Sus scrofa: one gene and its partner. The protein of the gene in region 1 purifies or fractionates together with the protein of each later gene. This does not show direct contact. Links are inferred from orthologs where the notes say so. Each region holds a gene or a part of one and is shown in the gene's direction. Other genes may lie near its edges.

The links. The genes of interacting proteins can lie anywhere in the genome.
Region 2: the proteins of NFKBIA (region 1) and NFKB2 purify together in Homo sapiens (affinity purification with mass spectrometry; 6 studies listed by BioGRID and IntAct, counting the BioPlex papers as one, with this or other methods). This does not show direct contact. The link is inferred for Sus scrofa from reciprocal best matches to the Homo sapiens genes NFKBIA and NFKB2.

What each region holds. Positions count from the first base shown.
Region 1 is NC_010449.5:64,505,608-64,511,552, forward strand, and holds NFKBIA (NF-kappa-B inhibitor alpha), read left to right. Parts: upstream 1-2,511; coding exon 2,512-2,738; intron 2,739-2,956; exon of another isoform or gene 2,957-3,306; intron 3,307-3,312; coding exon 3,313-3,421; intron 3,422-3,772; coding exon 3,773-3,983; intron 3,984-4,272; coding exon 4,273-4,361; intron 4,362-4,479; coding exon 4,480-4,740; intron 4,741-5,099; coding exon 5,100-5,147; downstream 5,148-5,945. UniProt on the Homo sapiens protein: Inhibits the activity of dimeric NF-kappa-B/REL complexes by trapping REL (RELA/p65 and NFKB1/p50) dimers in the cytoplasm by masking their nuclear localization signals.
Region 2 is NC_010456.5:113,404,225-113,409,955, forward strand, and holds the start of NFKB2 (nuclear factor NF-kappa-B p100 subunit), read left to right. Parts: upstream 1-2,187; 5' UTR 2,188-2,309; intron 2,310-2,684; exon of another isoform or gene 2,685-3,207; intron 3,208-3,339; exon of another isoform or gene 3,340-3,567; 5' UTR 3,568-3,644; coding exon 3,645-3,665; intron 3,666-3,918; coding exon 3,919-4,003; intron 4,004-4,110; coding exon 4,111-4,151; intron 4,152-4,389; coding exon 4,390-4,488; intron 4,489-4,572; coding exon 4,573-4,724; intron 4,725-4,983; coding exon 4,984-5,090; intron 5,091-5,188; coding exon 5,189-5,347; intron 5,348-5,632; coding exon 5,633-5,731. UniProt on the Homo sapiens protein: NF-kappa-B is a pleiotropic transcription factor present in almost all cell types and is the endpoint of a series of signal transduction events that are initiated by a vast array of stimuli related to many biological processes such as inflammation, immunity, differentiation, cell growth, tumorigenesis and apoptosis.

The sequences.
Region 1 (5,945 bases):
TGATATTTCTGTGTGTGGTGTGTGTGTGTGTGTGTGTGTATAGTTTATTTTTTTTTAACAGATGGGAGTATCCCCAGATATTCTATTTTATCCAACAATTGGAATAGTTTGCATTATCTTCCAAATCAGAGTGTATTCAGTCGCACTTTCACAAAGTGTTTTCAAAAATATTAATACCATGACCTCTTTGGCTAAATGATTAATATGCTGGGATAGAAATGAGATGAACTGCTCTGGGATGCCTAGGTAAATTTCTCTGCATTTCAGTTTCTTTTTAGGAAAGTCAGAACTGTTCCTTGCAAGATGAGTTCTGAGAACAGAATGTGTTGCAGAAAGTACTGGAGTCTTTCTAAAAATTTATCCTATGATATTTCCAAGAGACATGGTCACCCTTAAGCAAAGTTATACAAGTATTCATGGTCAATTAATACCATTTGGGGGGGGTCTTTTTTCTAGGGCTGCACCCATAGCATAAGGAGGTTCCCAGGAGGTGTGGCCGTCAGCTTATGCCACAGCCACAGAAACACCAGATCCAAGCGGCATCTGTGACCTATACCACAGCTCATAGCAACGCCAGATCCTTAGCCCCCTTGATTAAAGCCAGGGATCAAACCTGCCTCCTCAAGGATGCTAGTCAGACTCGTTTACTCTGAGCCACGACAGGAACTCCAAGTAATACCATTTTTAATCTGGAAAAAAATCTAAATATCATTAAATCCAACCTTGTTATTATAAAAGAAGGTACCCCATAGCAAAGGTAGCTAATTCATTCAACTAATGTGCAGCTCATTAAGGGTGGAGCTGGGAAGTGAGATCTCCTACTTAGCGTCACATGCCACCTTGCCTAATAATGATGTATTTGTCTATCAAATGCCTACAAAGACATACAGAGTCTCTCCCTGGACAGTTTTCATTTTATTATGTGATCGTTACTACCCCAAAGATTTCTTTCTTGATTTTATTTTGTCCCTCATATTCTGTCTGTCATCCCTACATTCAGATATCAGAGGTGGGGGTATTGGGGAGGGGGAGATGAGGAGAGGAAAAGGATTGGTTGGTGCATGGCCAGTCAAGTTGAAGATGATTGCAACAATCACGAGAAATCTCTGCAAAACTATAAAAGCTTCCTGGGGTGCCTTCTGAAAAAGTCTGATCCAAGTTGCTTTATTAGGGCCTGGACCATTTCTAGAAGTAGATGAATGCATTCCTTTCATTGGCTAGGAGGTGGGGATGGGGCAGAGAGCATACTTCTGTTTCTGCAGCTGAGACCTGGACATGGTGAACCTGGAGTAGCTACCCATATGGCATGGACAGGTCCAACTGCTGCCCCCTCCTTTGTCCCCCAAGAAGCCAGCAGGGGCAGGATGAAGGCCACCTTGGGGCTGCCCTGAGCCTCCTGCAGTATGCCTGGCAACTACTTTCTTAGCCATCTTTAAGGCCCAATCTTGGGTAAAATACTACTCAACCCATTCTTTAGCCACCTTCTCCAAATGCTTCTAGAAAGCGGCCCCCACAAGTAGGTTCTCTGCAGCAGCACAGTGCAAATGGAGGAACACGACCTCAGTAATTATTTTGTCACTGCAAAGTATCTACAACCTTTGCTATAAAAATTAACACCTTGCTTTCCCTGAAAAATAGCCCAGTCATATCCAGCATTTTCCAGCATCCAGGGCAGAGTGCTTGCTCCTCCCCCAGTCAACAGGACTGTTCATACCGAGGAAATGATTTGAGGGTTCTCTAAGCATTTACGCTGTTAATGCTAAAGCTTTCACGACTTCTACCTGAGGGGGGCTTGAGGGAGGGGGAGGTTTATGTCCCTGCACTGCCAGGAGCCTGGTCTTTGGTAGGAACGCAGAGGCAGCCGGCGACCTTCCACCCTCAGTGTGTCCTTCCCCAGGAGTTTAGGGAAGTGAATCCCTAGATCCAGCCAACATTTCCACTCCCATTTTCAAGAGATTAAAAAAAAAAAAAAAAAAAAAAAAGGAAAGCATCGGCAGGTCAGCAAACCAGCAGTTCTCCATCCTTGGGATCTTAGCAGCCGACGACCCCAAATCAAATCGATCGTGGGAAACCCCAGGGAAAATAAGGTTCCATGCAGAGGGCCAGGATTACTGACTGCAGGCTGCAGGGAAGTACCGGGGGAGGGGGCCGGGTCGGGAGGACTTTCCAGCCACTCAGCGTGCATTAAAAAGTTCCCTGTACATGACCCCAGTGGCTCATCGCAGGGAGTTTCTCTGATGAACCCGGGCGCGGGGTTTAGGCTTCTTTTTCCCCCAGCAGAGGACGAGGCCAGTTCTCTTTTCTGGTCTGACTGGCTTGGAAATTCCCCGAGCTTGACCCCGCCCAGGAGAAATCCCCTGCCAGCGTTTATAGGGCGCCGCGGCGGCGCTGCCGAGCCCACAACAGTCCGAGGCCATCGTCCCGCCCGCCCGAGCCACCGCGAGCAGCCAGCGCGCCGCGCAGCCTGTGGCCCGCGCACCTAGGGAGCAGCGCCCAAGCCCTCATCGCGCCATGTTCCAGCCCGCAGAGCCCGGCCAGGAGTGGGCCATGGAGGGGCCCCGGGACGCGCTCAAGAAGGAGCGGCTACTGGATGACCGCCACGACAGCGGCCTGGACTCCATGAAGGACGAGGAGTACGAGCAGATGGTGAAGGAGCTGCGCGAGATCCGCCTCGAGCCGCAGGAGGCGCCCCGCGGCGCCGAGCCCTGGAAGCAGCAGCTCACCGAGGACGGAGACTCGTAAGTGTCGCGGGCCCGGGTGGCGGGGCCGGGTGGGGGCGCTGGGCCTGCAGCCGGAGGTGCGGGGCCCGCGCTGCGGCCGCGAATCGGGGTTCGTGCACGGACCCCGAGGCTGTGCAAAGGTGCACGGTTGCGCGTGGGAGCCGGGGATCGGGGATTGGGGCCGTGGTCCCGCGGCTCTACCTTGCAGCCGTGCACACCTCCCACCCCTCACCCACCTTTGCGGGTCCCCTCGGCCGGGGGCGGGGCGGCCACGGGGACGCGAAGTCCCCGCTTGCATAAGGGGGGGCGGGAGTTTCTGCCCCGCTGGCGGGCGGGAGGGGAAGTACAGGGCGTTCCGGCCCGGCGGGAGGGCGGGGCGGTCTGGCCGGCGCCCGCCGCCTGGGGAGGGGGGGGGGGCGGAAAGTCCCTGGGTGCCTGCCAGGAACACTCAGCTCATAATAACCTCGCGGAAAACACCGCGGCCTCGGCCTCCAGAAACCCCGGGCTTGCGCAATCCCCTGCGGGCTGTGCCTCCCTGGGCCCCACGCAGTGCACTCACCAGCCCTGGGGGTTTTCCCTCTCTTCCCCTCAGGTTCCTGCACTTGGCCATCATCCATGAAGAGAAGGCACTGACCATGGAAGTGGTCCGCCAAGTGAAGGGAGATCTGGCTTTTCTTAACTTCCAGAACAACCTGCAGCAGGTGCGCTGCTTGCCCGCCCCGTGCCTCTTGGGTTCTGCCTCTCTGACCCCTTGATGGAGCTGGATCTAGCACAGTTATTTCCAATGATTTCCCAATTAACTGCCCCTAGTCATGATCCGCCCTGAGCTTTTACATCTGAATCAGCCAACATCCTAGAGAGGAAGGAAAAATCCCATTGATTTGGTGAGGCTTTTATGAAGCCCACCTGGGGTCTCCCGTCTGTTTCCTTAACCCCTTGTATCTGTCTGGGAGGAGCGGCACGCACAACCAGGATATCTCTAGGGTTCAAGGGGAACATGGATTGTGGGTTTGATCCATGGCTTATCCTTTCTGTCCCTCTTCTGTTGGTAGACTCCACTCCACTTGGCGGTGATCACCAACCAGCCAGAAATCGCTGAGGCACTTCTGGAAGCTGGCTGTGATCCTGAGCTCCGAGACTTTCGAGGAAATACCCCTCTACACCTTGCCTGTGAGCAGGGCTGCCTGGCCAGTGTGGGAGTCCTGACTCAGCCCCGCGGGACCCAGCACCTCCACTCCATTCTGCAGGCCACCAACTACAATGGTAAGTCTGGCTGCCCTATGCATCAGAGGGCACGTGACACAGACAAGGGAGAGGTGGGCCGACTTAAGGCAAGGTGTAAACTCTCAACACGTGAAAGGCTGAGAAAACATGTATGCATCAAGGTCTTAGTAAAACATGTATGCATTTGATGCCTTACTAAAGTCCATTCAGAACCCAGAGTCTGGGTTCTTCAAATTCAGAAGACCTCCTCCCTTAAAAGAATAGGTGAAAGTTCTGAGAAGTGAGGGTGGCAACAAGTGCTTATATTTTGTTACTTTTGGTACTCTAGGCCACACATGTCTGCACTTAGCCTCGATCCATGGCTACCTGGGCATTGTGGAGCTGTTGGTGTCTTTGGGTGCTGATGTCAACGCTCAGGTGGGTGCTTCAAGCCTACAGATGGAGGGCATTCAGCCCTCAATAAGATCACATGCTCTTGCTGCTAGCAGAAACCTCAGACTCAGCCATAAGCATCTCAAATTCCTTTTGGTTTCAGGAGCCCTGCAATGGCCGAACCGCCCTGCATCTTGCGGTGGACCTGCAGAATCCCGACCTGGTGTCGCTCTTGTTGAAGTGTGGGGCTGATGTCAACAGAGTCACCTACCAGGGCTACTCCCCGTACCAGCTCACCTGGGGCCGCCCAAGCACTCGGATACAGCAGCAGCTGGGCCAGCTGACCCTAGAAAACCTCCAGATGCTTCCAGAGAGCGAGGATGAGGAGAGCTATGACACGGAGTCAGAGTTCACAGAGGATGAGGTGAGTCCCAATGACCTTGTTCACGGGTCTGCAAAAAGCAATGCTCTCGGACCCCTAGAGCTCCTCCTTTTCCTGAGGGTCTCAACATAATGAGGATCTCAAATTAGGGAGCATAAGCAGTGTCCTAAGAGTAGGTTTAGGGGGAGGATTATGGTCTGGGGTTTTCTTTTGCTTTTTTGCTCTTTTTGAAGGAGAGGATCCTTAAAGGAAAACTTCAGCCCAGGAAGTTAATTCAGATTCGGGTTAGAGGGAACGGAGTCCAAGAATACTTGCGTTATTTCCAGTAGCAGCCCTTGCCATCACCCCAGCACCTTTGGCAAAGTTCTGGAAGTTTAACATGCCTTTCTTTCCCCTTTTAGCTGCCCTATGACGACTGCGTGCTTGGAGGCCAGCGCCTGACGTTATGAGCTTTGGAAAGTGTCTAAAAGACCATGGACTTGTACATTTGTACAAAATCAAGAGTTTTATTTTTCTAAAAAAAAAGAAAAAAAGAAAAAAAAAGAAAAAAGGGTATACTTATAACCACACCGCACACTGCCTGGCCTGAAACATTTTGCTCTGGTGGATTAGCCCCGATTTTGTTATTCTTGTGAACTTTGGAAAGGCGCCAAGGAGGATCATCGGAATGCAGAGAGAACCTCTTTTAAACGGCACCTTGGTGGGGCCTGGGGGAAAGGTTATCCCTAATTTGATGGGACTCTTTTATTTATTGCGCTTCTTGGTTGAACCACCATGGAGTCAGTGGTGGAGCCCAGGTGTATCTGGGAAATGTTAGAATCAGGTGTGTTGTTAAACCTGTCAGTGGGGTGGGGTTAAAAGTCACGACCTGTCAAGGTTTGTGTTACCCTGCTGTAAATACTGTACATAATGTATTTTGTTGGTAATTATTTTGGTACTTCTAAGATGTATATTTATTAAATGGATTTTTACAAACAGAATTCTGATCACTGTCTTCTTCGGGCAGCTGTGGGACTCCTACACTGAGAGTCATTCGAACCCCAAGTGGAGGTGGAGGTGGAGAATTGTGTGGGAGCATTTACCACAGCCAACCACGGAACTCTTTCAGAGAACAGCTTCTCACACCGTCTACACCAGCCTCCCGGCCAGGCTTTGCAGGCAGCCCCAGGCCCAGTGCGTGGGAGGGGAGGCTGTTGCAAGGTGATAGGAAACACCAGTTTCAGGCTTGGGGTGGCAGCAAGTTGGTT
Region 2 (5,731 bases), on another chromosome or scaffold:
TCAGGTCACTGCTGTGGTGTGGATTCAATCCTTCGCCCAGGAACTTTCAGATACCACAGGTACAACCAAAAAAAAAAAAAAAAGAAGACATAAATATAAGGAGTTCCCATCGTGGCTCAGAGGAAATGAATCTGTCTAGCATCCATGAGGACACAGGTTCAATCCCTGGCCTTGCTCAGTGGGTTAAGGATCTGGCATTTCTGTGAGCTGTGGTGTAGGTCGAAGATGTGGCTTAGATCCAGCATTGCTGTGGCTGTGGCATAGGCCAGCGGCTACAGCTCCGATTTCACCCCTAGCCTGGGAACCTCCATATGCCATAGGTGTGGCCCTAGAAAAGAAAAAACAAAAGACTTAAACATAAGACATGTCACCACAAAACACCTAGAAGAGACCACAGGTACAACATTCTCTGACATAAACCATACCAATGTTTTCTTAGGTCAGTATCCCCAGGCAGTAGAAATAAAAGCAGAAATAAAGAAATAGGACCTTACCAAACTTACAAACTTTTGCACAGCAAAGGAAACCATAAACAAAATGAAAAAACAACCCATAGAATGGGAGAAAATATTTGCAAATGATGTGATTGACAATGGCTTAATTTTCAAAATATACAAACAGCTCATACAATTCAATAACAAAAAACAAAACAAAACAAACTCAATCGAAAAATGGGCAGAAGACCTAAACAGACATTTCTCCAAAGAAGCCATATGGATGTCTTTCAATAGGCATGTGAAAAGATGCTCAACATTGCTAATTATTAGAGAAATGTAAATCAAAACTACAATGAGGTACCACCTCACACCGGTCAGAATGGCCATCATTAATAAGTCTACAAATAGTAAATGCTGGAGGTGATGTGGAGAAAAGGGAACCCTCCTACACCTTTGGTAGGAATATAAATTGTTACAACCACTATGGAAAACAGTATGGAGGTTCCTCAGAAAACTAAATACAGAACTCCCATATGATCCAGCAATCCCACTCCTGGACATATATCCAGACAAAGTTTTCATTCAAAAAGATACATGCATATAAAAAAATAAAAGATACATGCACCCCTAGGTTCATTGCAGTACTATTCACAATAGCCAAGACGTGGAAACAACCAAAGTGTCCATCGACATGGATGGATTAAGATGTGGTGCATATATACAATGAAATACTACTCAGCCATAAAAGAGAACGAAATAATACCATTTGCAGCAACATGGATGCAACTAGAAATTCTTATACTAAGTGAAGTAAGTCAGAAAGAGAAAGACAAATACCATATGACATCAATTACGTGGAATCTAAAATATGGCAAATATCTACAAAACAAAAACAGACTCACAGACATAGAGATCAGACCTGTGGTTATCAAGGGGGAGGGAGGAAGCAGTAAGATGGACGAGGAGGGAGTAGCAGACACTGCAAACAGTACAAAAGATAATTTTCTACTCTGGCGAAGTTTGAACTAATTTTGGATGGCTTTTCTATTCTGATATTCCAAATCTCTGTGAATGATGAACAAGGCCTGAGTCTCCCAGATAAACACCTCGTTTCTCTTACCCAACGCGGAGCTCCTGATCAGGTCTGAAAGTTTGCCCCCCACCCCGCAAAAAAAAAAAAAACAAAAAACAAAAAACTTTATAGAACAAGTTTTAGGTCCAGATTGCCTCTTCCAGGGAAGACTGAGATTACGGAGTCTCCTCGAGGCTCCAGAGCGGCCACCAGATGGCGCTCTGGCACCAACTGCAAATCAACTTCCTTCCTCTTCCCCTAACTCTTCCCGGCAGCGGGGCCCCCGCTCGAAGCGAGGGACCAGAGGGCTGGGTCCCTCCAGCTTCCCCTTGGGATTCCCCGGCTTCTGAGGTGGCCAAGCATTAGATGCAACATAAGCTGAGTAGCAGCAGGGGCTGCCAGCCGGCTGGGACAGGCCAGGGTAAGAGAGGAGACCGGAGCCGCGGTCCTCGGCTGGGGAATGGCGCTGGGTCAGCGGATCCCGCAGCAGGCTGGTCCCTAGGACAAAACTCACACCTGATTGAGGGCCATCCTCACTCTCGCTTCGCGCGCTGAGCAAATATTTCCCCTCTAAGGGGCGCGCCTGAGTCACTTGCGATTGGTTACTCGAGTCCGGAGTTAAACTTTCAGCCAATGAAAAACGGCATGGGGAGTGACGCACGGAAACGTCACGGGAATTCCCCCCTCCTGGGGCGGAAAAGGGGCTTTCCCGGCTGGAGTCCTGGTAGCTGGAAAGGTGTCGCGACCCGTCCGGGGTGGGTCGGGCCGGGAGAGAATCCGGAACCTGAGCCGCCGCAGCGGTGAGTGGCCGGGTTCAGACCCCTGGGTGGCAGGACACGGGGAAGGGCGGGAGGAGGACCCTTAGCTGACCGAGCCCAAGGGCTGAAGAGAGGCGTCTGCACACTCACAGAGAGCACGCACACGATCAAGATACACGCATACACACTGATGTCCTTGTATAAAGACAGGCGGGCCGTTTGTTACACCTTCACATATGCCGGCGTGTGCACAGCACTATCCATGCAGACTCGCTCACACAAGGACCCGCAAAACACGCACACCGTGCACAGGTGCCTGGACCCATACCCTTCACGCACAAACTCGAAGATGTGTTCACCTGTGCTCTTACATACATGCTCAGATGTTTCCGCACTGAGAAGTTTAAGGACACTCACCTGTATACGCATGTTCAAGCCATGAACACACAACACGCAAGCACATGGGCCGAAACACACTTGTACACCTATGATGCAGATGCATACATGTATTACACACGGCTTTGGGACTGGGGCGTAGGGCGTAGGCAGCCAGAGTAGGTGCAGTGTGGGAATTAACGGCTGTTGAGATGTTTTCGGGAGGGGTAACAGGGGAGCCCATCCCAAGGAGACCCTTTCCTTCCCCCGCCCCAGGGCCCCAGAGACCAGTTATCCGGGCAGAGCCCCGGGGCCCCTCACTGGGAAGAGCCCCCACCTACAGGCCTTCGGGGAGTAGGCCTTCCTACTGCAGGAATGTCCCCCCAAAAGCCCCCAGGGTGATTCAGCCGTGGCCTCACTCGGGGTAGAAAATCCCAAGGTTGCTCCAGGACGGGGGAGGGAAGGAGGCGGACCTGACCCCGTACTAGGAGCCTCCCCCAGCTTTGAAAGACCCTCCCGTCCCCGGCGCCTGCCCTGGAGGGAGGAGGAAGGGGTGCCCAGCCCCGCGGGACCTTCCCAGCATCTGGTAGCCCCTCGACTTCGCGGAGACGCTGCGGGCGCTAGCAAGCCAACTGAGACCTTGAGCCCCTCCCGTCTCGGGGGCGTGGCCAGTGCGTCATTTCCAGGCCCGCCCCCTCCGGCCCCGCCTCCCCCTGGTATTTTCGGGACTTTCCTAAGCTGTTCTAACTTTCCTGCCCTTCCCCGGCCCAGCCCAGCTCCGGATCTTGCCCTCCACCGGATCTTGCCCGCCACACCCGGACGGGTGGCTGGAGATCAGACCCTCCCCTAAATCCAGGCCCCCCCTTTCCCCCCAACTCCCGTCCTGATCTTTCTCTCCCAACCCCTCCACTCCTCCCCACCTAAGGCGGGCGCCTGAAACTCCGGGGAAACAGCACCCGGCCGGCCGGAGCCACCGGACAGAGCTGGGCCTAGCCCAGAGACATGGACAGTTGCTACGACCCAGTGAGTCACTTTGCCTGGCCCCAAAGCCGGCCGGTTGCCCCCTGTGCCTGTCTGCTTGTCTGCCTGCACCTGTAATGTCCTTAGATTATCTCAGCCTGCCTGTCAGTTACCTCTGTCTGCAAACTGCTTCCAATAGGAGTTTTCTTTTATGGGCCTGGGGAGGAGGAGTGATTATGGAGGGCTTGGAGAGCTGAGAGCTGGAGGGCCCCGAGAGTGGCTCAGAATCAGATGCTACCCCAGTCTGTCTCCACAGCAGAGTCTGCCTGGCATCATCGAATATGATGATTTCAAATTCAACCCGTCCATTGTGGAGCCCAAGGAGCCGGCCCCAGAGACAGGTTAGTAAGTCCCCCGACCTCCCCTTGTCTTGGAGGGAGGAACATGTGCCCTCTGCCTTGGGAATGGACTCAGAAGTCCTGGCTCAACAAAGTCCCTCTGTCCCCAGCTGATGGCCCCTACCTGGTGATCGTGGAACAGCCTAAGCAGGTGAGTGAAAGAGATGGCATGGAATGGTTTCAGCTTTGGGGGCAAGTGGGATAGTTGGGTGGCCATGGTGACCACAGACCCACTTGGGTTGAGGTGGTTGGTTGCTGCTGATCACAGCAGTATGGTTGTGAATTCAGGATAGATACATGCAATTATTATGGTCACTGCTGGCTGGTAGCAGGGGAGGGGGGTTTGGGGGCCTCATGGTCACAATGTCACTCTGCCCTGGCACCTTCAGCGAGGCTTCCGATTCCGATATGGCTGCGAAGGCCCTTCCCATGGAGGACTGCCAGGTGCCTCTAGTGAGAAGGGCCGGAAGACTTATCCCACTGTCAAGGTGAGCCTGGATGGTGCTGGGGGGGGCAGGGGTGACTCGTGGACAATGTCCATAAACATTACTGACAGCCCTCACCCCTCACAGATCTGTAACTATGAGGGACCAGCGAAGATCGAGGTGGACCTGGTAACACACAGTGACCCGCCTCGTGCTCATGCCCACAGCCTGGTGGGCAAGCAGTGCTCGGAGCTGGGGGTCTGCGCAGTGTCTGTGGGGCCCAAGGACATGACTGCCCAGTAGGTGCCCCATACCCTTGGCTCCCAATGGCATGCCCCCTCATTGCTTGTCCCAGTCCTAGGCCCTGGCCCACCTCTGTGAGCTTAGTGTCTGACCAAGGGGAGAGACTGCAGCTGGCCCCAGAACCCAAAGCCCCAAGTAAAAACTAGAAAAGCTTCCTAGAGAAGTAGGGCTGAGCTGAGTCCTGGCAGTGGGGAGGGTGCCTCAAGAGCAAAGAACTGCCTGCAAGGCCTCTGACTCCCTCCCTCCCCCACCCAGATTTAATAACTTGGGTGTCCTGCATGTGACCAAGAAGAACATGATGGAGATTATGATACAAAAACTTCAGAGGCAGCGGCTTCGCTCCAGGCCTCAGGGCCTTACAGGTATGGGGGAGATGGAGGGAGTCAAGGGAGGTGGTCATGGAAGGGAAGAGTAGAGGAGGAGGAGGAGTCCAGGGGTCACATGTGTGCCCAATACCCAGAGGCTGAGCGTCGGGAGCTGGAGCAGGAGGCTAAGGAGCTGAAGAAGGTGATGGATTTGAGCATTGTGCGGCTGCGCTTTTCTGCCTTCCTTCGAGCCAGTGACGGCTCCTTCTCTCTGCCCCTGAAGCCGGTTATCTCCCAACCCATCCATGACAGCAGTGAGTATCCTGACTACCCAGGGTGCCAGAGGGAGTATGGAGGGCAGCCTCAAGCTGTGGAGTAGGATAGGCCTGGGTTTGAACTTGGCCCCACCATGAATAAACTGAGTGATCCTGAGCAAATCATTTCCCCTCTCTTGAATATGGTTTCTGTCTTGTGTAAACAAAGATACTAGCACTTCCTGTACTTCTTGGCATTGTCCAAATGATACAAAGCAACCTGGCTCCATAAATGGGACCACGACTATTATATCATCTCACATAATTGATATCCCACCTCCATAGAGTCTCCTGGAGCCTCAAACCTGAAGATTTCTCGAATGGACAAGACAGCTGGCTCTGTGCGGGGTGGAGATGAGGTTTATCTGCTTTGTGACAAGGTGC